Linked DNA regions of Tamandua tetradactyla. The protein of the gene in region 3 purifies or fractionates together with the protein of the main gene of each other region. This does not show direct contact. Links are inferred from orthologs where the notes say so. Each region holds a gene or a part of one and is shown on either strand. Other genes may lie near its edges.

What was found. The genes of interacting proteins can lie anywhere in the genome.
Region 1: the proteins of MMS19 (region 3) and PPAT purify together in Homo sapiens (affinity purification with mass spectrometry; 3 studies listed by BioGRID and IntAct, with this or other methods). This does not show direct contact. The link is inferred for Tamandua tetradactyla from reciprocal best matches to the Homo sapiens genes MMS19 and PPAT.
Region 2: the proteins of MMS19 (region 3) and CIAO3 purify together in Homo sapiens (affinity purification with mass spectrometry; 3 studies listed by BioGRID and IntAct, with this or other methods). This does not show direct contact. The link is inferred for Tamandua tetradactyla from reciprocal best matches to the Homo sapiens genes MMS19 and CIAO3.

The regions. Positions count from the first base shown.
Region 1 is NC_135345.1:56,939,672-56,949,819, reverse strand, and holds the start of PPAT (amidophosphoribosyltransferase), read left to right. Parts: upstream 1-5,164; 5' UTR 5,165-5,287; coding exon 5,288-5,415; intron 5,416-7,971; coding exon of another isoform or gene 7,972-8,108; intron 8,109-9,458; coding exon of another isoform or gene 9,459-9,524; intron 9,525-10,148. Other genes in the region: PAICS (bifunctional phosphoribosylaminoimidazole carboxylase/phosphoribosylaminoimidazole succinocarboxamide synthetase), read right to left, coding at 4,405-4,471, 7,972-8,108, 9,459-9,524. UniProt on the Homo sapiens protein: Catalyzes the formation of phosphoribosylamine from phosphoribosylpyrophosphate (PRPP) and glutamine.
Region 2 is NC_135349.1:56,646,338-56,657,425, forward strand, and holds the start of CIAO3 (cytosolic iron-sulfur assembly component 3), read left to right. Parts: upstream 1-6,104; 5' UTR 6,105-6,132; coding exon 6,133-6,198; intron 6,199-7,299; coding exon 7,300-7,395; intron 7,396-8,895; coding exon 8,896-9,039; intron 9,040-9,297; coding exon 9,298-9,427; intron 9,428-10,497; coding exon 10,498-10,632; intron 10,633-11,039; coding exon 11,040-11,088. Other genes in the region: mesothelin-like, read right to left, coding at 372-415, 773-857.
Region 3 is NC_135339.1:58,805,442-58,815,702, reverse strand, and holds the start of MMS19 (MMS19 nucleotide excision repair protein homolog), read left to right. Parts: upstream 1-5,561; 5' UTR 5,562-5,765; coding exon 5,766-5,877; intron 5,878-8,568; exon of another isoform or gene 8,569-8,730; coding exon of another isoform or gene 8,731-8,812; intron 8,813-10,261. UniProt on the Homo sapiens protein: Key component of the cytosolic iron-sulfur protein assembly (CIA) complex, a multiprotein complex that mediates the incorporation of iron-sulfur cluster into apoproteins specifically involved in DNA metabolism and genomic integrity.

The sequences.
Region 1 (10,148 bases), on a different chromosome or scaffold from region 3:
TAATGCCATATATTTTAATTATTATTATTATTATTATTTTTTTTTTTTTTTTTTTTTTAAAGGAAAGACAGAGAGAAGGAAGGAAGGATAGAAGGAAGGAAGGAAGGAAGAAAGGGAAACATTTTTAAACATTTTCTTGTTTTATTGTATTTTGTTTTTCCGTTTTTTGTTACATGGGCTGGGGCCGGGAATCGAACCGAGGTCCTCCGGCATAGCAGGCAAGCACTTTGCCCGCTGAGCCACCGCGGCCCGCCCTATTATTATTTTTTAACATGGGCAGGCACTGGGAGTCAAACCCAGGTCTCCAGCATGGCAGCCGAGAACTCTGCCATTCAGCCACGATGGCCTGCCCAAAATGCAATATATTTTAGACAGTAGAAATCAAAGCATTCTCTTTAGAATTCTCTTGTATTTCTTGAAAGTACTTTAAAATTTAGATTTCTATAATCTGGGGACTTTAAAGAAAAAAGGAAGTACTGCAGAGTGATGAAGTTTTGGTAATGGATGGTGGTGATCGCAACACAGCGTTGTGAATATAATACCTGAAGTATACACATAAAAAAAGGCTAAAATCAGAAATTTTGTGTTTTATACATCCCTATAATGAAAGTTTTCTAAAAAGATGATGGCCAACAAAAAAAGAAATAAAGGAAGCCCACAGAACCAAGGCCCAGTGGAGTTCATTCCCAAGGTCAGGCATCACCTCCAGCTAATTCACTGCATGTACTGGGCCACCCAGAAATGCCTGCACATGATCTGACACACAGGTATGAAGAAGGGAGTTGGGAACCACAGTGCCTTCCTCATTTATTTCTTAAACTCAACTCCTTTCAAATCCTCATTCTAATAGGGCAAAGGATGCTATTCAGATTTATTTGGTAACAAACTTTTGTTTTCAGAAATCTCTAAATCCGCATCTTGGTTTCAAAAATAAACTGCCGTTTTTAGCATGACACTTTTATTTAAACAGAGCTGTTGTAAAGCCATTTAGCTTCTTTACAGCCAGACAAATGCTTGATACTGTTTCTTAATCCTTTGTAGTTGGAAAATACTGCATTTAGGGGTAAACAGCTTTTTTTGGACTATATGCTGATAATGTGAGTAAGCTATTGAGGCCCTGATTTTATTTGGGTGGGTATATTTACACATTTATATGCAGTTATCTAGAATGTTGAAAAACTCATAAGAAGTCTAAGTTCTCTATGCCATGTCAGATGCCAGAAAATACTCCTAACTATACAACATTTATAGAGGTGGATTTTTTTAAGAAGTGATAACTCTTTTCTCCAGGATATTTCACACATTTTATTATTTATCTAATAATTGTATGAGTCATTTTGCCTTTTCATCTTGAAAAATACTCTAAAAATTCTGACAAATACATTTTTATCCGTTATGGAGTATGTGTGCCACCTGGCTATTACCAACTCCCAATATTGAAAAGAACTCTTCCAGTAAATTTGATGCTTTCAGACTCTGATTATTTTAATAACAGAATTGTAAACTTGGATTCCCAAAATATCAAGAAATCCTAAAATCATCTATTCCAAGAATAACATAAAAAGATAGCTAATTCTGTGAGGTGGAAGCTATTTTGTGCTTTTTTCCCCCATAACATTTAGAAAGTAGAAAAACAAATAAAAAACTGGGCTGTTTATTAATAACAGACTTCTACAATAAAAAATTTATGGATGTGTTTTCATTGGATACTACTTAAATATGACAAACTACTTTTCAAGGAAAAAAAATACCAATCAAAGCCTCTTGGCATAGCTAACCAGAGTTTGATCTATATGCAATTAATATGAAACTTAACAGGATCAAATGCCTATAACAAAATTTAAGCCCCCACCTTTTGGGCAATAAAATAAATGAAATCAATATAAGGGCATTTTAGAAGGGTTTAAGGTCATATTCTGAATGAAACGGAAACCTTTCTAACTCAGAAAGCAAAATAGTATCTTTCATCAGCTACTTTATTCTATCATGTCTAAATAAAAGCAGTCAAGATATTTCAATAGTTGCTTATTTTCAGAACTAATATAAGCGACTTACCATGAAAAGTCTATACCTAATAAGTTGTTTTCTTATGTTGCACTGTATATGTGAAGACTATCCCTATCCTTTGCAACATCTCTGAAGAACACAGAAGCAAAAAATGGGTTACAGAAGCCTAAGAAGTCATGGAGCGTTGAAAGCCTTTTCTCTGGCTTCTCACTAGCCACTTACAATTCATTACAGAAGGACAGAGTGTTTTGGGAAAAAGAATCATCTTTTTTTTTTTTTTAAATGGGCAGGCACCGGAATCGAACCCGAGTCCTCTGGCATCGCAGGCAAAATAGAATCATCTTGACTAGGGGCTTCTTGTCAAACGCCATCAGACACACAACTGTTAATCAGACCATTAGCTTAAAGCTCTTGGTAAAGATGAAAAAAACCCAAAACTTTAATTTTCCTATTGGAAACTTATTTTGTTGTGGTAGTACTCAAACAGTTCTGCCCACAGTTCACTGTACCCTGAACTTAAGATACCAACTGGTATGTGGCCAATCAGTAATCAGGCCGAACTGCATTCTTCTTAAGTTTATTTGGTTGATAAACAACACTTAACCAATGATTCTTTTATATAACCTTTAACATGAACTCATAAGTCACAATGATTATGCCTCAAAACACAAAGGACAGATGGTAATTCAGATGGGCACCTCTGAAAAAGTTTGTCAGTTGCCTAGCCTGATTTTTCGGAAAATCTTAGGGAAAGACTGACATTCCCCACCAATCAGTGACTGCATGTGAGTCTTTACAACGTTAAGTGGAAAAAACAAGAATCCCAACATAGCACCCAATAGCCTTTCACAGATAAAATCATTGACCAAATGAGCACTATGAGTAGTTGCAGTAGGTAAATAGTCCTTAATAAGACCTTGAAGGCCAAAAAAATGACTATGCTGAATCCATTACAGAAAAGATTGGGCACCCAAATTTGATAATACTCTCCAATTTCATGGGATTTCTGTGACCTGAAAGTTTAATACATGTTTATAAGTTTGTCATGATGCTTGTAGTCTTGAAGCAATGTTTGAACTCTTTCAAATGGAGTGAAAATTGCTTCTGTTGTCCCTGCAAGTACGGCTGCCATGCTATGCTCTGAGTTACAAACTTTGGAGTCATGGGGTACTAACATATTTACAGAGAAAAAAAGTAATATCCTCATACAGACCAAACACATAGGCCAGTGCAGTTGTCTTCTGCATTAGTGGGGGAAGGATTCCATAATGCAAGTTTTGGAATCCATCCCTCCTCAACTGAAGTATTGCATTCTGGGTTTTGATTCCATATAGTCGTTGCTGAAAGTGGACCTTTTGAATAGGAAAAGTGTTGAAAGCTGCATAGCACCCACATAAGTAATGATTCATTTCACAAACATTTGTACTATGAGGTGATATATCTTGAAGATACTATGATTGGTGGCCTCTTTTCATGGGCTTCTGAATCCATCATGTTGCTTAAGAACTTTCTTCTTAAAGAAAGATTTTTTTAAAATCTGTTACACCATCAGGCGTGATGGTATCTTTTTGATAACTCTCCCAATTCCATCCATTGTTAATGTCCTTTAGGTTCTCTCGTCTGTAGACAATTGTGGTAACTGAACTTCCCATAGTTGCACACATCCTGACCCATGCCCGGTAGCTGCCAGCACAGGACCCCGTTGGGTCCTTTTGATCTAAATTGAAGTTTTCTATTTGGAAAAAGATGTGTGGGAAAACCAACGTTGTCTCATCATAAATGGCAAGAACTACCTTTCCTTAGGGTCTGACCACTCAGGGACAAAATGACTAGCGACAAGTAAATATAATAAACTTAAAGTGCAACAAGAATTTTTTTTGGCCTAGGAGTTTGGGGCAAAGCCATCACAGCATCAAAATCTATTTCAAAAAAGGAAAAAAAAAGCCACAATCCAGACAGAAAGATTCGGAAAGAAGGTTCAACTAGTAACAAAAGAGAAGTAAGACTTGGTTTCAAGGGTCACACTAACTTTTCATAAGATCATTTTGCAAAATAGTTTTTAATTATTACTTACAAATGTGATTTCCCCGTTCTTCTCCAACGCCTGGCCACCTCTCGTGCTAATTACCCCTTCTCTATTCTGCTACTTTTCCCCTATACCGAAGGCAGTGCTGAGTGGCGCCGTCTCCACCGTGCATGAGCCACGTGTCCTCCCGCCCCGCGCACCCACCAAGATGCCGGACCCTGGTCCCGGATGGCTGCTGTGGGGCCCGCGGGGCCCACGCACATCTGCACAGAGCCGGAGAATTGAAAGCTGGCATCCGGGAAAGCGCTGGGGGCAGGGAGGGGGTGGCGGGACCTAGCAGTCCCCGCTGGACCTCAACGCCTGTTGCTTACCGTCAGCTGTCGCCATTATTCTGAGTGGGCTGCGGGGAGCAACTGCACTAGAAACAGAGCCAGGAACCTGATTTAAAAAAAAAAAAAAAAAAAGGAGAGATCAGCAAGGGTAAGGGAAAGGAGGCGCAGCCCCCACGCGTGTTTCCCCGCCACGTATCAAGGCGCGCCCACAAGTGCTCACTTAGAACACAGGAGCGGCAGTCAAACCCAGAGGGTATCCGTAGACGGAGGTGCAGTTCAACTTCGGGAGAAACCGCTACCCAGGAGGCTACCCGCAGCGCAGGCGCAGGGACGCGACTCCGCCTCCAGACTGCCCCCGGCGCAGCGCGCGTGCTGTTCCAGGAAACAGATAAAGTGGCGCGCGCTTGCAGCCCCGCCCCACCCCACAAAGCTCGCTCACTGGGACCCCTTCTTGGTGTACCAGAAAGGATCATAGGTTGGAGCATACCAAGTGGTAACGGCTAGGGAAAAGCATCTGAAAAAGGATATACAAGGTTTACATCTTCTGGTAGAGAAATTACGAAATCTCCGCTGTCCTCATCAGCCATATTATGGATCATGGAAAATAACAAAGATTTTCACATGCAGAAAATGTATCTTCTTTAACATCTCCTGCGGAGGACTGACTCCACCCCACAGAATCTATGACTCCACCTCTGGGCCCGGGAGCCTCCCCCTGCGCCTCCGCTCATTGGTCGACCTGGAGGGGCGGGACGGGGGAGGCGGGAGGACGCGCTAGTCTTCGCCGCAGTAGCTAGGGTCTAGTCTCTGGGAAGGAAGCCGCTGTCGTGATCGTTTGGTACGCACCGGCCGAGGGGACTGCTGGTTGGCGCTTGAACCTGGGCCTGGACGGCAGGTCCTTCCACGTGCTTTTCGCGGCGACATGGAGCTGGAGGAGTTGGGGATTCGAGAGGAATGTGGCGTATTTGGCTGCATCGCCTCAGGAGAGTGGCCCTCGCAGCTAGATGTGCCGCATGTGATTGTCTTGGGACTTGTGGGTCTGCAGCACAGGTAAGCAACAGCGTGGGAGATGGAGGCTGAACGGATGCGGAGTGGGGATGGCGGCATGTGTGCTTTCTACATCTACTCAAGCCTCTTCCCGCGGCCTGACTTGGCGACCTCGCACGCGCCTCGGGGTGGGGAGACTGGTACATGCCTTTAGCATCCTCTGAGTTACCAGGAGCTCTCGAAGGCTACGTTGCCACCCTGGCAGCTTGCCCTGCTCCCCACCTCTAATGCTATTTAGGGGTTCGGGCCTCCCCGCCCTCCTTTTGTGCACCTCTCAGTTTGTAATGCTTCTGTCTGCTTGGGCTAGCAGGGACCATGTACTTCCCAGCAATTTGCGGGTTCTTATCTCCCAGCGTCTGGAGCTACTTCTGCCTTAGGCTTGTATGGAGTGATGGCAGATGCAGATTCTACAACACTTTTTAGATAGTGAAAAAGTTAGTAGTTAGAAGATGCCTAAAAATTAGCTCCCGTCTATAAAAAGGGGGGGAGGAGTCCTTTTGTATGTTGACTTTGAAAAATCAGGCGACCCCTTTGTGTTCAAAAAAATAATTTTGCTTCCCATTATCTTTCCATTTCTTATTACCTGACCTAACTGGAAGTTGATATAAACAATTCCGATTAATTATTGCAGTGAAAAATATAGCCCTAGGTTTGACATAAAAGTATTAAAAAGTTTCTCTAAGACAATACAGTAGCAACTTCTAGAACGTTGAAGAACTGAAAATACTTATCAGCATTACAAATGATTAGCTTTCCCTTACCAAACTTAAAAGTAGTCTTGTTGCTGTTTTCAGAGTTCTAAATACTTGAATTTGAGTTTTGCATTTTGAGTATTTTTTACTAAGAGCTGAGAATAATTCAGAAACTTTTAAAACTCAATTAACTCTAATCTTGGATAATTGAGTTGACCATAATAGAAATCTTGATCCATTTATGTGGTAGTCAAGAGTAACTAGTAAGCAATTTAAATAGTTTATAACATTCTTAAGAAAAGTTATTCTGGATTCTGCCATGAGGGGCAGGGGTGGTGTACAAAAGAAAGTGATGTGTAGAGTTGCCTGGTTTGGAAAATATATGAACTGACCTTTTAACTCTTTTCTCAACTATATTTGCTTTTTTAAAAAAATTACTCAGAAAGTTCTTTTCATTCCCAATAATTTCTCCCATTTAAATCTGTACCTGTAGAAAAAGGAGCTAGTTTTCTTTTTTTTTAGTTAGCTGTTGCCACTAATTGGAATTCTATACTCAGCTTAGGAAAATCCTTGGTTTGTAGGTTATAATGGGTTTTAAAATTGAGGTTAGATAATACAAGATAAGAGCAATAATGATGTGATTATCTGGCAGTAGAGCAATACTGAAAGGATTCTCTTAAGCTGCTCATGGTTGAGAAACTGGCATTGTAAATTCATCCTGTGGTATCTCAACAACAGTGCCCAAAAAAACTATTAGCTTTTTAAGATTTCCATTATGCAGTCCTGGAATCATTAAGCTACACATAGAGAACTGGTTCTTCCCACAAATCAAAAACAATTCATGATTTTGGATGAAGAGGGAAACTCCCTCATGTGTATAAGATAAAATCTGCTGTTCTAAACAGCAGGGGCCACAAAGAGATTAAGAACTAAGTCTTTATATGACATTGAATCAAAATTGGAAGCCTGCATAGGTTATCATTTCTTAATTTACTGTAGAATTATATACATTTTACATTTTAACAGGTGGTGTTTTGTTGCAGAAAAGCCTATTTCACCCCCATTAGCTTAATGGTTAGTCTTAAAACAAGGTATGATTGTTTTTGTTATGAAGGAATTAGCCTGTTAATGCATTATCTTCCTAAAACATGGAAATGAGAAGGAGGGAATTTCTATCACTTTTGCATTGTATTTGTGTCTTTGTCTTATGCATGATCCAATAGAAAAAAAAATATCAGTCTCAGGGAAAACGATACCTGAAAGTTGTAATATTAAATGTTTCATATAAAATACAAAAGGGTGATAATTACACGACATGTGCTACAATACTTAATCCAGATGGGTTCAGCCAGAACTATTGCTTTTTAGTAGCTTTCCGACTATTTATAGATTTGACAGCTCTACTTTCTGTCACTAGAAATTTTAGCTTTACATTTTCAGGTTAAACTAACTAGTTGTTCTCTTATCTGCTTCTAGCTGTGTGTGTGTGTGGGGGGGGGGGGGGCGGCATACCACATTCATATAATCACCAACTGCTAATTTTTGGCCCTGAAAACATCAGCTCAGTGTTTTGCAGAGTTTTGAACATGAACAAACTGGACACCTCCTGTAGATCAGACAGTTTCATCATTAAGCCACAGCCACTTTGTATGGAGACTAGAATGACCTAGTTTGACTAGGTTTGAAGATTCCATAAAAAGAATTACAAAATCTTTCAGATTTATCCTATCAATCACCTAGTTTTCCTTGGTTAGAAGATAAGAATACCGGTCCTATTAGTGAATGGATCTCTTCTCTGTATTAGGAATTGAACCCTGCAACTGATGACCATTTTCATATGTCTTCTAGGTTAAAATTGGCTATTTACCTCATACAGTTGGGTCGTGTACTGGGTTTCCTGTCTGCAGAAACTTCCAGTAGAATCTTTTGGTTCTGTTACGACTTGAGGAAACTGATTTGCAATGATCTCAGGAGCAATTTTCTTACGAGACACAGACACTGATTCTGCAAAAAGAGTACATGAAATCGTCACTAGAGAAACACCTGTGAGAAAGAGACAGAAAGATGCACTCAGATAAAAAAAAAACCTCTGTGGGATTAGTTTCCAGTTATTTTCATTCATTTAGTGTTTTAGAGAACATGGGAGTGGGTTCTCAGAAAACTTGCTTTTGGGGTGTCAAATTAAGGCTGAGGATATCTTCCTTTTTAATAACTGCCCATGATAATTGTTCCAATTGTTGATTTTTAGAGTTTTAATTCAGTTTGTTTTGTAATCTTTGTCAGTGATTTGGGTGGTGATTACATGAGTGTGCTCACTTTATGAAATTTTGTTGAATGCTTCACTTTGTGTTTACTAATATCTAAAAAATGCTAAAATTTGATTATCCTGGAGATACAGAGGGGAACTGATTCTCAATCTAGTTCTTTTTTCTTCTATACTGCTGAGTAACATTTCCTTACCTCTTCTGTGGTGTGATGATACATAAATTTAGAGTTATAGCTCACATAATTATGTTGACTTTGGGGTTTAGTTTATCTGTAAACTTAGTAAAATATTGTACTCATTACTAACTTAGAGAAAACCAAAATTCAGTGCTTATTAGTTTATGGGATTTTCCCTTTTATATCCCAAACTTCTGAAGGTGTGCTGGTTTGAAAAGGTTTATGTACCCTAAAAAAACCATGTTTTAATCCTAATCAGCCTTGTGGGAGCAACCGTTTCTTCTAATCCCTATTCAGTACCATATACCTGAAACTTTAATTAGATTATCTCCCTGGAGATGTGACTCAATCAAGAATGGTTATTAAACTGGATTAGGTGGAGATGTGTCTCTACCCATTCTGGGTGGGTCTTGATTAGTTTACTGGAATCCTATAAAAGAGGAAACTTTTTGGAGAAAAGGAGAGTCTGAGAGAGCAGAGAATGACATAGCAACAGGAAGCAGAGAGTCCACCAGCCAGCGACCAAATAAAATGAAGAAGGAAAATGCCTCCCGGGATGTTTCATGAAAGGAAGCCAGTAGAGAAAAAGCCATTCCATTTCTGGTATACTGCATTCCAGCAGCTAGCAAACTAGAACAGATGGCAATTACTATAAAATGTAATTTAAAGGCTCATGATAAATGCATAGTTGTGCAGAAATTTATTTCTGACTCAGAAAGTTTCCATTAACTATCACTTTCATTCTTAATAAGCTATAAGATAAACCATTTCTCAGGATTGTATGCTTTCACACAGTTCATAAGCAATATATCTAGTCTCATTTGTCAAGGACAAGAGTAAGCATCTCTTATCAGTAAAAGATACAGAAGTTTTTCTCAATGTGGCAAAACTTGGCATTTCTCAGGCTCTTACCATCTTCATGTGCTTTTCTCTTGATTCTCAAAGTACCTGGGTTTTTGGTATGATCTTCAAATAATTCTTAAAACAAACATAGGAAAAGAACCATTATACGACATCATTTGAAATATATTAGTTCAAGTATACTCAAGTGAGAACATTTAAACAATTGGACTGATAAAGAATGAGTTGGACAGTAACATTGTAATATGCTTCCAATGAATGTAACAAAAGCATTATGCCAAAACTAAATGTCAACAGGCAGGGGGATTTGAAAAGGAGTGTGGATTCTTTGCGGAAGAAAAGGAAACGTCTTCAGATAGAGTATGGTGGCAAAGGCATGTCTGTACACTTCGGCTGGATTGTATGATGTGTGAATAAAACTATTTAAAAATGAACAGCTAGAGAAAATGTGTAGAAAGTGATGTGCCTATTCACACTTGATGGGGAAATGCCCCTTGGAGGACAGTGTGGTGGTTCCACAGGAAGCTAGGGGTGGGTTTGCTGTATGATACTGAAACCCTATTGCTCAGTATATACCTGAAGGAGCTGAGTGTGGGGACACGAATGGACATTTGCACACTGTTGTATCTGGTGACAGTGTTCATGACCTACAATGAATGGAGGTAGTCTAAGGGTACAACGACTGAGGAATGGAAGAGGGAACTATGGGGTATACATACAGTGGACTACTGAGCCACCTCA
Region 2 (11,088 bases), on a different chromosome or scaffold from region 3:
CTACTCCCAGGGCCCAGCTACTCCTAGGGCCTAGCAGCTCCCTCAGTCCAGCTACTTTTCAGGCCTTTCTATGACTTAGACCCACGGGTGGCTATTCCTGGATCCAGCTACTCTTGCATCCAGCTACACATTGGGCTCTGCTACTCCCTGGGCCCAGCTACTCTGAACCCAGCCATACCCCTCAGACCCAGCTGCACCTATGCAAGTGGGTATTTTGGAAACTGGAGTGCACAGCTAGTTATATATCCCCATGTGGCTGCGTGGGCACCTGCTTGCATGTGGACGTGCTGACATCCCCCATCGCCATGCACAGCTGGGACCCCCTCCCAGGCCTGGGAAGCCCCCCACCATGCCCTTGGGGGGACCCTTACCTGTCCTGTCTCTTCAGCCGGGGCTGCCAGAGACAATGCCCACCCTGCAGGGGGAGGGGGTGTGAGTCCCAAGGAAGGGCCAGGGGCTTCCAGGGGCAGCTGCCCTGGTAGGGAGGATGGGGCTAGGCCTGGTCTCCCGCCCTGTGTACACCCCGCAGGGAACAGAAGTAAAGAGTTAAAGTCCCTGAGTCCCTGAAGTCACAAACCGCCCCCCCCCGCCTCCATGTCCTTTCCTGTGACTCAGCTGCTCAGGGGGGCAGACAACTGCCCCACAGACATCCCCACTTGGTCTGAGCCCGTCACTGCCCAACCCAGCCACCTGCCCGTGCTGGGGGAAGCCGTGGTGGGAACGGGGAGGCTGGGGTCTCCCCAAGTCCTGCAGCACAGCACCCACAACTCACCGAGGCTGAGAAGGAGGAGGAGAAGGCTGCAGGGGGCGGGGGTCGTGTGGGGCCCCGGGGCAAGTCGTGCAGTCTGGAGGGCCATGGCCTGTGGAGGTCGGCGACCCTGAAGACCCTGCCCCCGGCAGGGTGAGATTCGCCCCCACACCCCCGCGCCTCCCCAGGCCGGCCCGGGGTCTTGGGGGGCCGCAGAGGTCCCAGGGCCCCCAGGGGGACACAGGTGCTACCTGGGCAGGCGCGTGGACAGAGTCTGAGCAGCTCGAGCCTCCCCGGCCCCGCCCGCCCTTTCCAGGAAGCTGCAGCCCGGCCGGGGTTAAGACCTGACTCACCGCGGCCCCCAGCTGCGAGGCCCTGCCGCACGGCCCCACCCACCCTGTCACCCGATTCAACCCGAGGAGGGCGACCTCCCGCGCGGGCTGCCTCGGTTTCCCTGCCTGCATCAGGGGCGCTGAGGCTACACGGTCCCCTCTCTACCCCCCACAGGCGCTTCCTTCGAACCCAGAATCCCGCCAGGCAGGCAGTGCCCGGGGCGGGGTGGGGGCCACTGCCCTGGGGCCCCCCTCGGGGGAGGGGCTGGGGGCATCTTCCACCTGTGAGCCCTGGGCAACCTCAGACATGGGGGACAGTGGCCAGACCCAGCAGCCACCTTGGGGAACCTCACGTGCTCTCTGGGGTGAGGGCTACCTGCAGGGAGGGCAAGGGGTGGGCACCTGAGCCTGGGGAAGCAGAGGCACCCCGGCCTGCACCCCGGCCTACCTGTCCCCTCCCCGGGCTTGGGAGGGGGGTGTTTTCACTCCCCAGTGGCCTCTTCAGTCGAGAGGTCTGGGCCGGTGCCACCCACATGGCTTGGGCACAGGGCAGCCCCTGGGGACGGCACCTGCACCCCAGGCCCCGAGTGCAGAGAAGCTGACCTCCAGGCCAGAACCCAGGGGGACCTGGGACCACCGTCCCCAGCCCCTCGAGACCCAGGGACCCTGTGCCCAGCTCCTGATACCTAGCAGCGGCCACCAAAGACTCCCAGGGGGCCAGATAAGGGTGCCCCCAAGCCACCCGGCTCCCACACCTGCCCCGCAGAGACCGGGGCGCATGGTGGGCCCTGGAATCTGCATTCCCGGAGCCCAGGCTGGCGAGCAGCCTCTGGCAGCCCCATCCTGGCTTTGCGGGTGAAGTGGGACCGGAACCCCCCGGCCACGCTCAGCCCCCACGAGCCACCCGGAGCCGGGACAGGGCGACCCCGGGATCCTCCCACCCCACCGCCCGGGCACAGCTGCCCCTTTGCTCCCTAGTTGGGCCTGGGGTCCAGGAGGAGCCTGCTGGAGCAGGTGCCGGCTGCTTCCGGGCAGGGTCCTCTCCTCGCCCCCAGCCCCGGGCCCTGGGAGGGCAGGCTGGGCCAAGTGACCAACTCAGGCTGCAGGAATGCGCGGGGTGAACCCAGTGCCGAGAGAGGCCGTCCCCTGATGTGGGTGGGAGCCAGGTGGGGGACAACCCCGGGGCCGCCACCCACAAACAGACCAAGGCCCCTTGGGGCACTGTGGGGTCACAGCCAGGGCCCCCGTCCCCCGTGGCTCGGCGGGTAGAGCAGACCCTGGGGAAACGGGGCGTCACCCCACAAGGCTCAGGTCACCAAGTTGGGGTGCGCGGGGGCTGCCGTGGCCCCGGGCAGGGCGAACGTCCCACTGCTTGGACCCCAGGGTCTCTGGTAGCTCCACCTTCCCTTTCTGGGGCTCAGGCCAGAGGAAGCGGTGTTGGGGGGGGCTGGGGGGCATGGAAGGGACATGGGGAGGACCTCAGGTCACCTTGCTCCTTGGGCCCTGTGCCCCAGGGGGCAGGAGAGCGGACGGGACCCCAGACCCCCCGGGGTCCCAAGGCTCTGCCCCAGCGCCCCTTGTCAGTCCGGTGGGCTGAGTACGGAACGGGGGTGAGAAGGCAGCTCAGGGCCTCCTGGACTGTGTACACGGGTCGAGGGGGTACTGGGGGCCCCCGGACAACCTGCTTGTACCCCAAGATCTATAGGTCCTGCCCTCGACAGCATGCGAGGGGCCCAGGCTGGGTGCTGCTCTGCCCCCGGGGCCCTGTGCGCCCCCCCGACACGTGCGGCCGCTGCAGCCCCATGACGGCCCTTTGGTGCCCCCTTTGGCTTGCCTGGCTGGGGACGGAGGGGGGACCCCGACAGCCATCGCTCCTCACCCCTGCACCGGGTGACCGCAGGCCTCATTAGTGGCTAATTGCACCCGAGCAGCCTCTGGGGTGCCCGGAGATTACACCTGTTGACAAGATGGGGTGCCCCTGGGGAGTGGCTGCTAATGATGTGCTGACGGCCGTGCCTCCCCCACGAAGGCCACTCGGGGAGGGCAGCGCCTCCTGCCCAGGTGCCGGCACCCCACGCGCCTGCCCATCTGCACCCCGCATGCGGACTCCCCGGTGGCCCTGCCGGGAGCACGCAGACCCCCTCGGCACAACACAGAGCCCGTCTCAGACGTCAGGGGGCTGCAGGGGTGGATGGATCTGTCTCCCTGGGGGAGTGACCCCATTTGGGAAAAGGGTCTTTGCAGCTGCACGGAAGGCTCTTGAGATGCCTGGCGGGGCCCTAAATCTAACAGGAGGTCCTCGGGAGAAAGGAGAGGACAGGGGCCCGGCCTTACGGGGACGTGGAGCCCGTGAGGGGGCAGACAGCCGGGGACAGGGAGGGACAGGGACACTGGCCAGAACAGGGTCGGGAGAGGACAGAAGAGGACCTGGCCACACAGGTGTCAGAACTCCACGCGTCCCCACGCTCGGGGCTGCCGTTTCGTGGCTGCTTTGTCAGCACAGCTCCACAAAGCCCCCACGAGGGCCGGGCAGCCCGCTCTGGACCAGCGTGGGTCCCAGGGCATGTGTAGCAGGGGCCCGAGGGCGCTGGCGGCGGCTCAGGGAAAGTGGCCCCGCACAGTCCCCACCCCCTCGCAGCTCTGGCCCCAAGCCCAGCACCCGGGAAGCAGGCGGTAAATATTCACTAATGATGATGATGAAACAATTTGCAAAATACGAATGTGAAGTAGCCAAGAGCCTGGGCTCTCCAGGGAAGGGGCTGCATAGGTGGAAGGCCTGGGGCTGCGTGTGTGTGCGTGTGTGCATGTGCGAGCAGGTGTGTGCATGTGTGAGCACTGTGTATGCGCGTGTGTGCATATGCGAGCAGGTGTGTGCCTGTGCGAGCACGTGTGTGTGTGCACGTGTGCCTGTGCAACCGTGTGTGTGTGTGGGCATGCATGTGTGTATGTGTGGGCAGAAACGGCCCGGTCGGATTTTCTGAACCAAAGATGGGCCCCGATGTTGCTGGCCGCCTTCGGGGTGGCGGGGCTGCCGCTGGCCACTGCTGGCCGCTGCCTGGCTGGGGGTGTGGAGCTGCAGGGGCGTGGCGGCCCGGCTCACTCACCCTGCGTTTGCTTTTACAGACTCGGTTTCTGGGGAAAAGAGTGATGGGCGCCACCCTGCTCCTCCTGCCCCAGGCTCCCCCCACCCCTGGCTCCGTGGGAACCTGCCCCCCACACACACCAGGTGGGCCCGTCCTGGGGTGCCCCACCTCATCTTTGGTCCCTGGCCCAGCCAACCAGACCCCCACCCACCCCCAATCCCACACACGCTTTTTTGTAAACTCACTCCATAGCATTTCAACGAGACAAAGTCTCTGTCTGCGTCCGTGTGTCCCTAATAGTCATGGCACAGTTCAGATTCAGGTGCCACACTGCACACCTTGGCCAGGTAGCGCCCCTGAAGGTGGGGGGGCTTGGCGGTCTCCCGGCCCTGAGGAGCTGGTGCGGCGGTGGCAGGCCCAGGCCCGACTGGACAGGGTTCTGGGGCCCGGGAGAGGGGCAGGACGGGGTCCCAAGCATGGAGGGCGGGCCCGCTGCCCCAGCAGAAACGGGGCCCTGACCTGCGGTTTGGGCACAGGTGCCGGGAGCAGAAGCAGCCCGGGTGGTGACGACACATGTTTCACCATGTGGTCCGAGTGATGGCGTGCCGCTTAGCCAAAACGTGGCCGGAGTTCTGATGCACGCTGCACGTGGACAAATCTTGACTCAAATCCATTTGCAGGGCCAGACATAACAGAATAAATTTGCTTTCTCTCCCAGGAAATATTTAGAGTAAGCAAATTCCTAGAGACAGAAAGCAGGAGCGGGGCCACGGGGCAGGGACTGCCCATGGAAGGTGCCCTGATAAATCCCACTGACGGACCCCTCCCTCCATCCCCCCAAACACTGGTCTGTTAGCCGCAGCGCGTGGCAGTGGACGCGGGATGCGGCATGATGGGGCGTGGATGCTTGAAAGTGGTTAAGATAGGAAGCTTTGTGTTGTGCACATGTTACCACAACACAAACTTTAAGAAGCAAAGGCTCAAGCAGGTGGGAACCTGGGAATGGATTTACTGTGTTGGAACAAAGAGCCCACGGCCTGTTTCACTCAGCCGATAGAGAACAGGCCGGTGTTTGGGGGGATGGCGGGAGGCGTCCGTCAGTGGGATTTATCAGGGCACGAGGAAGGCAGAAGTCCTGTCTGGGGTTATAAAACCTCACAGGGAAGGAGTTGTGAGGGTAGCTCAGTGGTAGGATTCTTGCCTGCTATGCGGGAGACCAGGGTCCCATTCCTAGTCCATGCACTCCCCAAACACAAATGAGCAAACGAACGAAAAAAGTCAACACATGGTGCTGCAGGAACAGGATTCTCACGTGGCATGTGACCCCGCCATACAGCATACAGGAAAAGGAAATCTCACAGGGAAATCGAGCTGGCTCCCACCGCCCGGAAAATAACAGAAGGAGAGCTTGGCGCTCCGGGAGGGACCCCCGCGACCATCAGGGACCCCATAGCCGGGGCGCTGCAGGGAGCCCGGGATGCAAGCCCTTGCTCCTGGGCCCCGCGCTGTTCACGCGCCCTGAACCGCTCTCATCACACACGGGGGCCCACTCGGTGTCCGGCGCTGCTGCGGCTTCCGGGGCTGCATGGACAGCAGGCAGAAGGGACGCTGTCCCCAGCTCCCACACCTGGGGACCTGGCACCTGGCCAGCAGGTAAAGGCCGGGCGAGCGAACGAGGTGGGGAAGCCCGAGCCTCGCTGTGAAGGCGGAGGCTCCCGGCCCGGCGCTGCCCTCTCCGCCCCACTGCCCGGACCACGCGTCCCGGGGCGCGCCAGGGTCCGGTTCCGCGAGCAGAGTCGCCGCACTCGGCCCGCCAGCAGAGGGCGCACACCGCTCCGGGCGCCCGTCGGCGGGGGCGAGGCACGCATGCGCCAGGTGGGGCGCTTTCCGGCAGCGTGGCGGAACCACCTCGTCTTTTCGCGCCGTTTGGCGACACTCTCGCGAGGCACCTGGCGGCAGTGTGGCCGCCATGGCGTCTCTCTTTAGTGGGGCGCTGCAGCTGACGGACCTGGACGACTTCATCGCGCCGTCTCAGGTGGGCCGGGGCGGGCCGGGCGAGGGTGAGAGTCCCGAACCCTCCGCCCCACCGTATGCCCCTGGGAAACCCAGCGACCCTGCCCTCGGGGCCTGCAGGGACCCTCGCTCGGGCCTCGGCGCCCTGGCCCTCTTCTTACGACAGGGAACTCAAGGCCAAAAGGACATTTTCCCACCACCGTGACTGTGTCCAGGGCGTCCAGGACGGCCGGTTTGGGGTCTGGCCTGTGGTGGGTGGTGAGGACAGGACAGGGCCTGTCACCACGCTGGCTTCGGGCCGGCCGGGAAGTGCCGCCGCAGGGAGTAGCACCCAGCTGGGGGGCGCGGGCCGGGGTGGGGTGGGGACCCTGAATCCCTTAGTCAGTGTGCTCACAGGTACACAGGCACTGCGGCCACCCTCCTGTTGGGGGACGGGCGGGAGCACCGTGGTCGTGCAGCAAAGGTCACGGTGTGACCCAAAGAGGACCAGGGGCCCCAGGAGGACGGGAGCTGGTGCGACCTTATCTGAGTGTGTCTGCCTGTGACACCAGCAGCTGGGAGGGGCTTGGGGGAGGGTGCAGCTGGTGGGCAGGGGTGACCCGGACAGGCCGCCTGCCTGGGCTCTCTGGAGCTGGTCACCTTGGGGGAGGTAGTGGCTGGCACAGTTCTCACATAAAAATGAGGGAGCCAGAACTCAGAGGGAGGGACAGAAGAGTAAACTTTGCGTCAAGGCCCTCCAAAGGTTTTCAGGCCAGAAGTCCCTGTTGAACCCTTGACTTCCTCCCAGCAGCCAGGTGACCCCATCTCCTGTTTGTGCTTGGAAAGGGCAAAGGTCAGGGCCGGTGGTTTGTTTCTGGATGGAGTTGCTTTGTAGGTGCAGTTAGCACTGGCCTTCCTGACAGCCAGTGACCCATGGGTGACTTTTGGGAACAGCAGGATGCTAGAAAAGCGTGCCCAGCATGAGACTCGGGCAGGTGGCTGACACTCACAACTGTGTGGCAGGGCAGGGCCCTCATCTGTGGGGTGGTGGGACAGCCGGCCGTGTGGTGACCTGGGGAAGGCTCCGCCCTCTTCCCTGGGCCCCTCAGCTCATAGACCCCTGGTTTGGGTCTCTTCTGATTAGGAATGCATCAAGCCTGTGAAGGTGGACAAGCGGGCAGGAAGCGGTGTGGCCAAGATTCACATCGATGATGATGGCAGTTACTTCCAAATTAATCAAGTAAGAAACATGGGCTTCACCCTGTTTCCAGCCCAAGTGACCGGAAATGTGATTTTCTCTACCTCACCCAGTCACAGGGGCAGTGACTGTGGGTATTTCCCCAGCTTGCTGGTCCTTTCTCACTGTCAGATTTACTAAGCGGTGGGGACAACGGGGCTGCGAGGATGTGGGACAGAAGCTGGGGGTGGAGGCGGAGCACAGAGCACAGGGGACACCCAGGCTGAGCAAGGTGCTGCGGCGGGAACTCCTGGCCAGGGGGTGGCTCCTGGCTTCCTCCATCTCTCTGAGTTCTAGTTGCATAAAAATTTCCAGTTCAGACTGTGGTTCTCACAGAACACCTACTCTCTCTATAATCAAGGAATGACAAACTCAAACCCTGACTGTTTGGATTTTGGGGGATACCTGTGGCAACCCTGGGACCGCAGGAGCTGGGTGTGCTGCGGTATTCGGCCCAGCCGAGGACCAGGGCCCTGGTCGAGGGGCCCTCCCCGGGGGGGTGGGGGGCTGTGGAGATGGAGGGGTCTCCAGTAAAGAACGGCAGCAAACGCCCACACCTATAGGGAGAGAGACGGCTGTTTCCTTGGTGCAGGAGGGTGACCTGCCGCACAGGGGCGCCTGCCCCACCCTGGGCCAGTCTGGGGGACCAAGTCCCATTGATGTAAGAGACAGCTCATGAGGGGTCCCCGTGAACAAAGTGGAAGGGCCAGGGGAGGAGCTGCTGGGCCCTGCTATCCACACAGCTTGTTCCTGGGTTGGGGACCCAGACATGGAGGGAGCGTGGAGAGGCCCACTCAGCGCAGCTGCCCCGCGTGGGCCTTGGGGCCCTCAGCAAGTGCGACTTGAGGTTGCGGCTTTGCCGCAAGGGGCTGACCAGGCTGAGGACCTGGCTGGGGGCCTCCGTGGGTTTGCACACAGCCCTGCAGCCTGCCGGGTCCCGGCTCCAACCATTCCTGGACCTGCACAGGGCCCTGGCTGGGATCGTTTCGTGTCTTTTGTTCCCTTGGCACCATTGCCCCTCCATAAGCTGGCAGAGTCCCACTCGCCAAGTCTGCCAGTGCCCAGGGTTCCCTTGCACACCGCTGCCCCTCTGCCGAGGCTCCCGCCCACCGTCTCTCTTTCACCCCTTGCCCCGTCTTCCTCCCTTTTGGAGCCTTGTCCCTCAGCCCCAGGGGTGTGCTACCTGGGCACAGTGGCCCGTACAGGATCCCATGGGCAAGGTGGCCCTTCCTGCCAGTGGGGCCTCAGTGGGCAGCGAGCCTTATTCCACGTGATGTGACATGCTCGCTGAGCCTGTGCCGCATTATGATTTAATAACTGGAAATCTAGAACATGCGTACATGGTTCTGTTACAAACATTTAATTTTCAAAAATTCCACGGTACGTAGAGCCAGCCAGCACCCACACTGTCAGTAGCATTATAGGCAAGAGAATAAAGATTTCCTGTGGACTCGTGTCCCTGAGCAAAGGAGTTTCCTGGACTGGGTTCTCGCCCCTTGGCAGGACGGAGGGACCCAGAAGCTGGAGAAGGCAAAGATCTCTCTGAATGACTGCCTGGCATGTAGCGGCTGCGTCACCTCGGCCGAGAGCATCCTGATCACACAGCAGAGCCACGAAGAGCTACGGAAAGTTCTAGAGACTAATAAGGTAAGTGGCAAATGGTCTGAGACTCTGCTTTCACGTGACCCTGCCCTGCTCGCCATGGCTGCTTTGTCAGGGACGCAGGCCCCGCATTTCTGGGTGTCCGGCACACGGGGCCTTATGGGGGACTCGCAGCGGGCTGTCTGTCGGCGCTCTGTGGGGGTTTCAGCACAATAACGATGACGAGCCTCGAGGGCGCCACGCGTACCCTCTACGGTGCGTCTTCTCCCGGGGTGCGAGTGGATGTATCCCCTTGCCTTCCAGGCAGCCCCTGCCCAGCACAAACTGGTGGTGGTTTCTGTCTCACCGCAGTCCAGAGCGTCCTTGGCGGCGAGATTTCAGCTGAATCCAACAGACACGGCAGAGAAATTAACTGCATTCTTTAAGAAAATAGGTAGGCTGGAGCCCGGCTGTGTGCAACTTGTGCTGGGGCGGCCAGGCCTGGCGTGGTGGGGGCTCCTCCGGCCCCTGCGCCACTGACGGGTGCTCAGCTCTGAGTGTAGACTCCAGAGCTCTTCAGCCTGGCTTTCACCTCAGCTGGGAGTCTCTGTTTCACAAGCAGAGCCCTGCAGGAGAGACAGGGCTGGACCCGCCCTCTCCCTGTGCTTCTTCAGCTGTCGTCAGGGCACACGACCAGCTGGGCACTGAGTTGACATGATTGCATTTGCCGGTGTCTCGGGCACTGTGCAGGGTGTGGCCAGCTGCCAGGTAGACCAGGAGCCCACATAAAGGAGGGGAGTCCCTGGTAGGCCCAGCAGCACTGGGCTCAGTACCTGCAGGGGCCCCATAACCTAGGCATCCTGGGCTGCTCTCAGGGCAGGCCAGCACCCCTCTGCCGGCAGCCACCCTCCACTTGGCAGCCCCTCTACTTGGCAGCCCCCTCCACCCGCCAGCCCTCTCCACCCGCCAGCCCCTCCACCCGCCAGCCCCCTCCACCCGCCAGCCCCCTCCACCCGCCAGCCCTTCCACCCGCCAGCCCCCTCCACCCGCCAGCCCTTCTACCCGCCAGCCCCCTCCACCCGCCAGCCCTTCCACCCGCCAGCCCCCTCCACCCGCCAGCCCTTCTACCCGCCAGCCCTTCTACCCGCCAGCCCCCTCCACCCGCCAGCCCCCTCCACCCGCCAGCCCCCTTCACCCGCCAGCCCCTCCACCCGCCAGCCCCTCCACCCGCCAGCCCCCTCCACCCGCCAGCCCTTCCACCCGCCAGCCCCCTCCACCCGCCAGCCCTTCCACCCGCCAGCCCCCTCCACCCGCCAGCCCCCTCCACCTACCAGCCCCCCTCCACCCGGCAGCCCCCCCCGCCTGGCAGCCCCCCCCCACTTGGCAGCCCCCCTCCTGGTAGCCCCTCTGGCACCTCCTCTCAGGGCTGGCACAGAGCCCGAGGCACTAGTGATGTGGACTCTGGGTTGGGGTGCCTTGTGTCCTGGTTGCCCTTCATGGGTCAAGTTAGATGCCACTTCCCAGGGGTGCACTACGTGTTTGATACCACCTTCTCGAGGAACTTCAGCCTCATCGAAAGCCAGCGGGAGTTCGTGCAGCGGTTCCGAAGACAGGCTGACTCTGCACAGGCCCTGCCCGTGTTGGCCTCCGCCTGCCCAGGTGTGCTCACAGCCGTGGGGCTCTTTGGAATTATACGATACTAGAGTTAAAGTGAAGTTGAAGTTTGAAATGACATCAACAGATCAGAACAGGTGGAGGGGTGACAGGTGATGGGGTGAGGGTTCCTGTCAGCATCCGGGCACCACGTGGTCCCTCCGGGAGAGGAGCTGCTGGGAGCCGAGGCTCAGCTGTCACTCACTTCAGTCCTGCGCTGAAACCACGCTCACGTGGAGTGCTAAAAATGCCCGTGGCAGCGACAAGATGATGGGAGTGTTCTTTCGTGTGATCCTAGTTCCTATAACAAGCCGGTCCACCCCCAGAATGTCATGTCACTTCGCAGGCAGGCGGGGGCAGCCGCCCTCAGCCCTCGCAGCGGCTGACCGCGCCCCGCCTGTCCCCTGCCTCAGGCTGGATCTGCTATGCCGAGAAGATGCACGGCAGCTGCATCACGGCCCA
Region 3 (10,261 bases):
AGAGCAGGTGGTGGAGGGAAGGGAAAGGATTTTAAATAGCAGGCCCCATTAAATCAAAGCCCTAGGAGGCTTGACTGAGAAGGGACATTTGAGGAGACTTGGAGGACCACAGGGAGGGAACCATTCAGATATCAGTGGGTAGAACAAGTGGATGAAGAGTAAGAGATGTAGTAAGAAGGTAAACGGGTGAGAATCATATCATGTCATGTAAGTCAACACAAGGACTTTGAAAAAGATGGGGAGTCACACGAAGGGTTGAGCAAAAGAGTAATAAAAACCAACTTCGAGTTTACGGCATCTTTCTGACTGCTACGTTGAAAATAGCCTTGTTGAGAGACAAGGGAGGAAGCAGGAAGATCAGGCAAGAGGCCGATGGTAGCTTAGGTCAGAGTGAAAGTGGTGGAGATTGTAAGAAGCAGTCAGGTTCTGGACATATTTAGAAGGTAAAGTCAACAGGATTTATTGATCAAATGGGATGTGGGTTGTAACAGAGAAGGAGGAGTCATAAATGAATCTAGCCTTTTGGGGGTCTGGGTAATTGGAAAGATCAAATCACCATTAAGATGGGAAAGAGTTTGTGAAGAGCAGGGGAGGTTGAGGAATTGTTTCCAGACATGCTAAACTGAAAAGCCTTTATATTAGATGTGTTGAGTAGGAAGCAGAATGTACAAGGCTTGGAGTTGGAGAGAGTGGGCTGAAACTATAAATGTGGAGTTACTGGCATATATAATCATATGTAATTGTATGTCTAATAAGACAAGATTTATATGTATAACCATGCATAATTTATATGACTGTGTTTATCATTTGTCCTCCTAAACTGTAAGCTCCATGTAGTCAAGGACCATGTCTGTTCACAGCCAGCTTGGTGTCTCTGGCATTCAGTAAATATTTACTCAGCAAATGGAGAAGTTGCCCGATTAATCCCTCAAGAATAGCTACCATGGCCCACACACGAGAAGACTTCCTTGCAATCACAGTGCCAAGCCCAACCAGTCCAAAACAGAGCTCAGGGACTGTCCACCCCCAAGCTTGGGATTCCAGAATGTAAGTGGATATGCCTGGCACATCAGAGAGTCAGATATTTGGGTTTCAGCCCTGCCACACACTCAAAGGGTGGAGCTGGGCAAGAGACTTGCTGTTTTACCACCTCTATTTCTCCCCTAGCTGGTTGGCTGAAGGGCTGTTTCACCCAGTTCATGGGCAGAGATAGTGATCTACCCAGGGTATGTGTATGAGGTGGTAGAGACACTCCCTCCCACCCCCCCACCCCACCAAAAGGAGTAACTCCCCAAGTATTCTCTAAGGCATGCAAGGGCCACCTAATCCTTCCACCTAATACAAGACTCCATAATCACTGGGCGTTGTAACTCTGCTTCTCCTGTCAAATAATTAAGAAGACAAAACTAAGGCCAAAGGGTGACTGTAAAAGTCATAAGATTCCAACTCAATCCATTCTAGTTTTGGACAGCTGCCTTTGTGAAGGTGAAAAAATGATCTTATAAAACCCCCTCCCTTTCCAAGATATTGAAAGTGATCCAGAGAGATTTGATGACTTCCCAGGGTCCCTCAGCAACAAGCTGAAGACTGGAACGTAAGTTCTATCTCCCTTTTGAGGGTTTCTTCCCATTTACTAGTGGTAAAGGAAAGGTCAGAGTCATAAGTGTTAACTAGAGGAGTTTTAGACAATCTAGAATTAAACTTCAACTTAAAATTATGTCCTTCTCAAAGGGTAAGTTGCAGATGTTACAAAAATGCCAGGTGCATACTGTGACGTTAAGGATTTCTTCTTTATACCCAAACTTCTGTCACCTTAGAGTGCCCCCTTTGATTTGGACTTTATGAATAAAGCTATTCATAGTAAGATCCACATAAGTGAAATAATAATATACCAACAGATTTTAAAATGCAGATAAATACTTCAGTAAAATATTTACATGAAAAATACAGATGTAGGATGAAGTCAGGTTTAGCTTTCTAAATTCAACAATTATTGAGGGCTTTCTCTGTACAAGTTATTGTGCTAAATGCTATGTATACGTATGTGTATGTGTGTATATGACTATTTGAGTAAGTGACTGAGAAAGAGGAACAGAGACACACCAGAATAAGACAGAATTCAGGTTTCAAGGCTTGCAGTGTAGTTGCTGGTATAAGAATGTAAACATTAAAAACCTGACCAACAACTTAAAACCTAAAATTGTGGAACTGTAACCCATACCAAACTCTGAAATCTGTTCTACAACTAATTGTTGTGATGTACTTTGAAATTTATTGCTTTGTTTTTACATATATGCTATTTTTTTTTATAAAAAAAGAGAAGGAAGAGAAAAATAAGGAAGATAGGATTTAACAAATGAATATGACTGGTGAATCAATATATTGATATTTCTTTTGGTCTTCAGTGTCTTGGAGCAACTAGAAGAAAAAATGAAAAAAATACCAAACTTTAAAATCTTTTCTATAACTACTTGTTAAAATGCACTGGTAAATTTATTGCTTTTCTTTGTATATATGTTATTTTTCACAGCTAAAAAAGAAACCCACATAACCAGTAATATGGAGTAGATTATTATACAGTAAGTAGCATAGATAATGTATCTGCAGGAGTTCTTAGAAGAAGCAATCTCTTCCACTGGATGTGGGAGGAGATTTGTTAGGGAAGGTGCTTCAAGAAAGATAAGGGATTTGGGGTAGACCATGAAGGGGAGAACGACTCTTGATAAGATGAGGTGGGGAAATGAAACAAGTACAAGCTGGTGACCTTAATGTTAAGGAAGAGAAAGAAATCAGGTCCCAAAAGGAAGGACTGGGTCAGACATATCCTTAAAAGTTTAGATTATTGTAAACAATAGGGAGATGCAGAAAGATTTTTCAACATAAAATTAATTACAGGGTTTGGAATAGGTCAATTTAACAAACTACTTTTGGGGGAACTTCTAGGTATAGACACTCTGCTTCGGATGAGTGAGTGAAGATGAACTTGCCTTTGGTGGGTAACTGACTTCAGACTGGGAGAGAAGCAGGACTCGAGGTGACAGGACCTTGCAGTAGAGTGGGAAGGGGCAGGTTTGTAACTCACATGAAAGGAAGAGTCAGCAGTGACTAGCTGGCTAGGAGACAAAGACAGTCAGTGGGGGAGTTTTTCAAGGTATAATTACGTAGCTCAGAGAATGTAAGGGTAAGGAAGGGAAACAGATTAAGGGGGAAGAGATACAGAGCTTGGCTCTAGTGGTGCTGAATCTGAGGATATCTAGATCAGTGTCCAGCAGCCATTTAGAGATGTGGGTATGGGGTTCAAGAGACAGGTAACAGCTGAATATATAGCACAGGGGGAAAGCAATTATGGAACCAAATACGATTTCTCTGGGAGGGAGTATAAAGAGAGAAAAAACAATGTGAAACTTAACCATGAGTGTACCCACCTAGGAGATGCTTGGTAGGTAGGAGTAATCAAAGAGGAAAACCAAAATAATGCTAAGAAGGGAAGGGAGAAGAAAGTTTCAAGGAGGGGAGGCTGTCAGCAGTGAAAAATACAATGAAATCAATTATTAGGACTGATTAAATAAATAATAAATTGAAAGCACATAAATAATAAATTGAAAGAATGAATGAAAGTCCCTTGGGTTTGAGAATTAACTTTGCTCAGAAGAATGATTAGGGATGCCTTCCTATAAGAAGATTCCGATCTTAAGTTTTACCTTATCCTTCCTATAAAAACACATTTCTTCCTTCCATATGTCATCCGGTCCACTACATAGACATCCTTCCCTTCTTCCTCAGGTCCACCCCCCCTTCACTCCATTCTCCTTCCCAGGTTCCACAACACAGTAACACACCTACGGGTCAAAGAGAGGCAGGAAACTGCAACTAGAGTTTCCACTTCATTAACAACTTCAGGCCAGTGATTCCTCTTACAGAAAGGGATATGTAGCAATTGGGCCCAATTTGTATTAGCTGTGTGGCTTTGGGCAAGTTGCTCAATCTCTCTGGATTTGTGTTTTTGGATAGGGAGGAGGAAGTAGGTCTATCTGGAATCTAGACAAATTTCTAAGTCTACTATTTTATCATTCTCAGAAGATCCTTGCAACATCCTCAGAGAAGGAAGTGAGTGTCCGGGGCAAAGCGCCAGGATAGGAGGAGGGGTGTACCGAGAAAGTGAGAAGGCGCTACCCGGCCCTCCCGAATCGCGAAGAGATCCCCATACCAAAGGCTGGGAAGAATCCCAACAAACCCGAGGGAGAAATTCTCACCCCCACCTCACTCCACCTTTCCTAGATTCCCAGACGGCCGGGAGACTCTAAAAACCCTGCAGGAAAAATAAAGATTTCCTTCCCAGAGCCCTGCGCTGCTTTTGCAAGTCGGATTCGGGCAGCACGATATGCAGCCCGATAATAACAGTCTTTGGAAGGATCGACTGAGCTCGTCTCGCTCGCTCCGAGTTCTGGGGACGCCTGGCTGCCCGCGCCGTGCCCCAACCGGCCGGCGTCAGACCCCGGCCCGGGCTGCCAGGCCAGCGGCGCCCTCGCCCGGGGTCCTCCCCCCTCCGTCCGCCCCGCTGCGGTCTGCAAACATTTCCTGCCCCCACCCCCACCAGGAGCTTCCCAGTTGGAGCGAGTCGGTCTCGCAGCCGGGTCAGCGCTCGCAGTTGCCCCAACTCAGCTCCCCCGGCCATCCAGGACTGGGGAGGAGGCCCCCGTCCCGCTCCCGAGCAGCCATCGGGGGATTCCCAAGCGCCAGGCGCCGGGAGTGGTCTCTCGGGAAGTCCAGGGCTCCAGTAAGAAGGGGGGACAACTGGCAAGGTGCCCGTTGCTCTGCTCCCTTCCCTGTCATTACCTGCTCGTTTGCGGGGGTGTCCCGGGGCGGCCGGCCTCTCCCGGCGCTGTCTCCCCACGCAGTTGCCCATGCTGGCTCCTCAGCCGGGCCCCATCCACCGGAGGCGGGGGGGTGGGTGGACGGCTGCTCCGCGCTCCTGCCCCGGACCGCGGCGTCCCAGGTCAACGGCTCCTGCCGCCCGGCATCGGGCGCACCCCGATTTCCCCCCCGGGGGTGCACTCTGACCCAGCGCCGGCTTCGCCACAAACTTTGCGGGCGAAGGTAGAGGAGGGGGACGACTCCCCAGCACAGTCCACCAGGTGGCCGGGCCAGGGGGGCCCACGACGGTGCCCGGCGGGAGACCAGCTCCGCTGTAGAGGCGGAGAGAGGGGGCGGGCACCGCCGCAGCTACTCGGAGCTCGCTCGGGGCTCCCAGCTGGGGCCGGCCCCCCGGAGCCTGTCACTCACCTGTCTAACCCCGCCCCAGCCCGGCCCCGCTCCTTTCCGCCTGCTCGCAGTGCCCGCACCGCCACCGCCCGCCCCAGGTGCGCATGTGACCGACGGCACCGCCTCCTTGGGCCGGGCCTGATTTTTTCATTGGCTTCCCGCAGGGTGCATACCGCCCCTCGGCCCCACCCAGCCAGGTGCCCGCCCAGTCGCCCGTCTCCACGGGAACCGGGCCGGGAATTATGCGCCCTCAATGGCCCCCGCTGCGTGCCCAGCACCCGTCGCACTCCCCGCGCCAGCGCCCCTACTTCAGGCCCCGCCCCTCGGGGAGGGGCCGCCCCACCCTCCCTGGAACTGCCAGGCGAGGAGCCGGCGGGCACGTGATCCGCGGAGCGCTCCGCCCCCTAAGTCTTCGCCAAGCGATTGGCTCATGAAGCACATGCGCGGAGAGTCTTGTTTCGTGCCACCACCTACTTCCCCTCCTACGGTCACTAGTTCGTGTCATGGCCGCCGCCACCGCTTTGGAGGCAGTGGCGCCTACGGGCGCCCTGTGGGACCTCGTGCACGACTTTGTCGTGGGTCAGCAGGAGGGGTCTGCTGACCAGGTGGCTGCAGGTATGGCAGACGGCGCCGCGCGGCTTCCGCATGGGGTCCAAGAGGAGGGAGCGGCCTCCACACAGGGGGTCGGGCGGGAAGAGTGAGGGATAGAGGTGACTGTGAGAGACTGTCCCCAGGAGCACCGGGTGCTTAAGAGCCGTACCAAAATTGAAAGTTATTTGCATCTTCCTTAAAGCGCTTTTACACTCCTCGTCTTCCGTAACCATCTTCTGTGCAGGAGAGGCGGGGTTAGGATAATCATTACCATTTTACAGATGAGGAAACTGAGTTACAGCGAGAAGAGACTTGCGGAGTGTCACAGATCAGGCAGGTCGGGGAGCTGGAACTCGGCATCGGATGCTCTCACGGGGAAACCACGTTGTATCTAGGAGGTAGACGTGAGAAAATGCAGCTTCAGCGGCATCAGCACCAGTCGCGTGGAATCTTGGGAGCGGCGGGGCGGCGCCGGCCACCGACTGGCTGTAATTGGAGGGAGAGGAGGGAAGGCGTTCTAGGCACAGTTTGAGATGTTCAGTGTCCTCCCTCTGTTTCTTCGTAAAGTTCTTGATTAATTTGCTTCTCAAGTTTTTCATGTGCAGTGTGGTTTTATCTTTTCTTACATTTCCAGTACCTGCTTATGACCAGTTCAGCAATCTCTTGGTTCTGACAGCTTCCTAAGATTTGAATCAAATAATATTAGGTGTCTTTGGAATTTTAATACTGTGCTTTTGTAGAAGAAAATTTATCTACCAAAGCGTTACTGAATGTTAGGAGGCCTTCAGACCTCAGGCATAAGTCACAGAATACAAAATAATATTGTAGGTATCCGTAAGTTTGTATTTTAAAGGTATTTTTTGGAAATTTTGCATGTCTGGGGAGAAGTAAAGAACATTGCTTCTCTTGAAAACTGAGATACTAACTTTTAGAATACGTGAGAAATGAATAAATTGCGTCTGCTAAAAATGTAATGCTTTGGTTCTTAGCAGTATTCTGCTTTCATTCATTCGTTCCACCGTTACTGAACACGTTATTCTTCAAATGATGCAAAGCAATAGGAATATAGCTATAAATCAGTTCAGATTGGTGCCCTTCAGAAACTTATACTGCGGTGGGAGAGACAACTACGAACACAGTCGACCATAAAAAGGGTTCTAGGAGGTGTATTCAGATGCTATGGAAGCATCAGAGAACAAATGCCCCCTTCTGCCATTCCACGAAGCTTGACTTCTTACAATAAATTTAGTGAGTTATCAGTGTTGACAGTGTTAACGAGTACAATATGTGCCAGTGTCATTTTTCCAAGTGTTTTATTGTGAATTTTTTCAAACATAAGCAAAGTCTAAAGAATTTTATAAGGAGCCCACATACACTCATCACCTAGATCCTGCTATTAACTCTTTTTTGCCATTAACATTTTAATATACTTGATTGATCACTTATCCATCCATTTAAGTTGCAGATATCCATACGCTTACCCCTAAATACTTAAGCCTGCATATCATTAGAGTTCAGTATTTGTTTACAGTTTCTTTCTCTTTAGGTGAAACATTTATATCCAATTAAGAACACATACCTTAAGTGAACATTCGTTGCTTTAAAAAATGCAATCCAAACCCTTGTCAACATAAAACATTATACCAGTGTCATTTAAAATTTTTCTTTCACATTTATATATTATGAAACAATACTTTTGGATTTTTCAGGTTCAAAATATACTGAGACTACAATCTGATAAGAGACTGCCAAGTTTTACGTGTTTATAAATTTTTTTTTGTTATTGTCTGAAAAAAATGACCTAAACTATTGTCTACTTTAAAACAAGCTCAGCCCAGCCAAAACTCAGTAACTACTAAGCCTGTTGTACTTTTGGTCTCCTGACTAAATGAAGAAGGTTGGTACGAGGAGAAGTAACAGATAAAGTTGAAATGTTTGGTGTTTGATGGGATTGAATTATGCATAACATTGGATCCCAATCAGAGGTATTTAAATGACCTGTTGTAGGAATAGCGGTTGTAGATCCTTGAGCAAAGAAGCCGTATAAAGAAGATAAGTTTAGAGGTTTAAATTGGTATTCTCAATCTTAGATCACTGCCCTTTTTAGGGTTATTGAAGGCTGACAGTTTTGAAGCATCCTCAGAATAAGATGTGCTTTCTAATCCTCCAGCCTGTCAGGCTTTGTTAGTGCTTCCTTTTTAGCCACTCATAGCAGCAGAGTTTCCTACAATAGTAAAAGCAAAAGAAACATCCCCTCCTCACAAAGGCAGCTACTACCAATTTTGTCTTTGTCAAGAACCTGGTGGGTTCTTGGTAAAAATAGGAGTCAGTAATGCATTTCCTAGTATAACTTATGTGGACAGCTTAATTGAGTACATGGAACCTTGAGTAGAGCATGAGATTTTGTAGGTTTGTCCAGAGTGATGCCTCAATAAATCCCAGAAGGATTTGAACAGTGAATCAAAAAGTATTTGCAGAGTCCCCTTGGGGGAATGGTAAGAAAGGGGGAAAGTTCAGCTTCCCCAATTGGAGAATTCTTGATATTCTCACAAGCAGTGGGGACAACCAAAGCAATAGGCTGAGCCCCCAATCTTAGGGTTTATTCATATGAACTTAACCCTGCAAAGGATAGGCTAAACCTACTTAAAATTAGGCCTAAGAGTCACCCCAAGAGAACCCCTTTTGTTGCTCAGATGTGGCCTCTCTCTCTCTCAGCCAACAGGAGAAGCAAACTCACTGCCCTCCCCCTCTCTATGTGGGACGGACTCCCAGGGGTGTGGACCTTCCTGGCAACGTGGGACAGAAATCCTAGAATGAGCTGGGACTCAGTATCAAGGGATTGGGAAAACCTTCTCGATCGAAAGGGGGAGGACAGAAATGAGACAAAATAAAGTGTCAATGGCTGAGAGATTCCAAACAGACTTGAGAGGTTATCCTGGAAGTTATTCTTACGCATTAAGTAGGTATCACCTTTTTAGTTAATGCATAACAGAGGTTGGAGGGAACTGCCTGAAAATGTAGAGCTGTATTCCAGTAGCCTTGTTTCTTGAAGATGATTGTATAATGGTATAGCTTTCGCAGTGTGATTGTGTGATTGTGAAAATCTTGTGTCTGATGCTTTTATCTATGTTATGGACAGATGAGTAAAACATATGGATTAAAAATAAGTAGATGATGGGGAACAAATATTAAAATAAATTTAGTAGATTGAAATGCTGGTGATTGGGGAGGGGTAAGGGGTATGGTATGTATGACTTTTTTTCTGTTTTCTTTTTATTTCTTTTTCTGAATTGATGCAAATGTTCTAAGAAATGATCGTGATGATGAATATACAACTATGTTCATATTGTATGTTGATTGGTTTTATTAATAAAAATTTAAAAAAAAATAGGAGTCAGATGGCAAAAAGGTACAAGTGATGGAAGCGATATGACTTGGCAGCCTAAGAGTTAAAGGTCTCAGAGACTGTACTGCAGGTCCTCAGCCTTTGTTCTCACCTTCCCCTTCTGGACCTTTTAGTTGCTGTCACCCACCATTACTTTTCTTAAGCGTTTTCCTTCCCAGTTCCCTCCACTAGCTCCATCTAATTAAAGTTAGACCCAGCTTGATTGCCCTCCACCACCAATAGATGCTAAAGCGTTTCCTGATTACCCCAGTCAGACACCATGGCACCCTTCAGAATTTGTGTTGTACTTGTTTCTTAACCTCTTGTATACTTATTAGAAGACCTGTTTAGTATCTATTTCTGTACACAGCTCCATATCCTAACTTCCCATTCTTACCACCAGAGACTGCTATAAGTAGGTACAAAATAAAAAGTACTTAAGTGAATGGAATGAGAGATGTTGAAGGAAGAATCAGTGGGGCTTGAGGTATACAGCTTGAAGGAGAGGGAGGACTCCGAGATGACTCCTTGTTTTCAAGCCTGAGGATGCCAAGTGCTCTGTCCAAAAAATTGGGGGGTGGGGAGGGCAGGGGGACACGCTGAGGAAGAACCTGATTTTAGAGAATGTTAACTTTTGAAATGTTGGATTTACACAGTTGATGACTTGTTTTTCCCTCTTAGTTATTTGGATTTTGCTTCATTTCAGTCTTTTATTATTTTGTATTTTCCCATATTTGTAACTCCCTGAGGTGGACACTATGCCTGAAACCAAAAGATTGCTAAAGAACAGTAAAATATGCTTCTGAGAAATGTCTGTAGCACCCTCAGCAGAAAGAGTATTTTGAGAGCTTGATTGTAACCAAGTCCTGGTTGGGGTTTTTCTCTCTCTCCTGTTCTTTCATACTCTCATTGCCTGCTACTTCACTTTTTCAAGAGGTTGCAACTCCAGCAGACAGAGCTCTAATTGTGTTTTCCATGTCACTGCTCATATAAATGCTCCTTTGACTCCTCAGTACCCCTCAC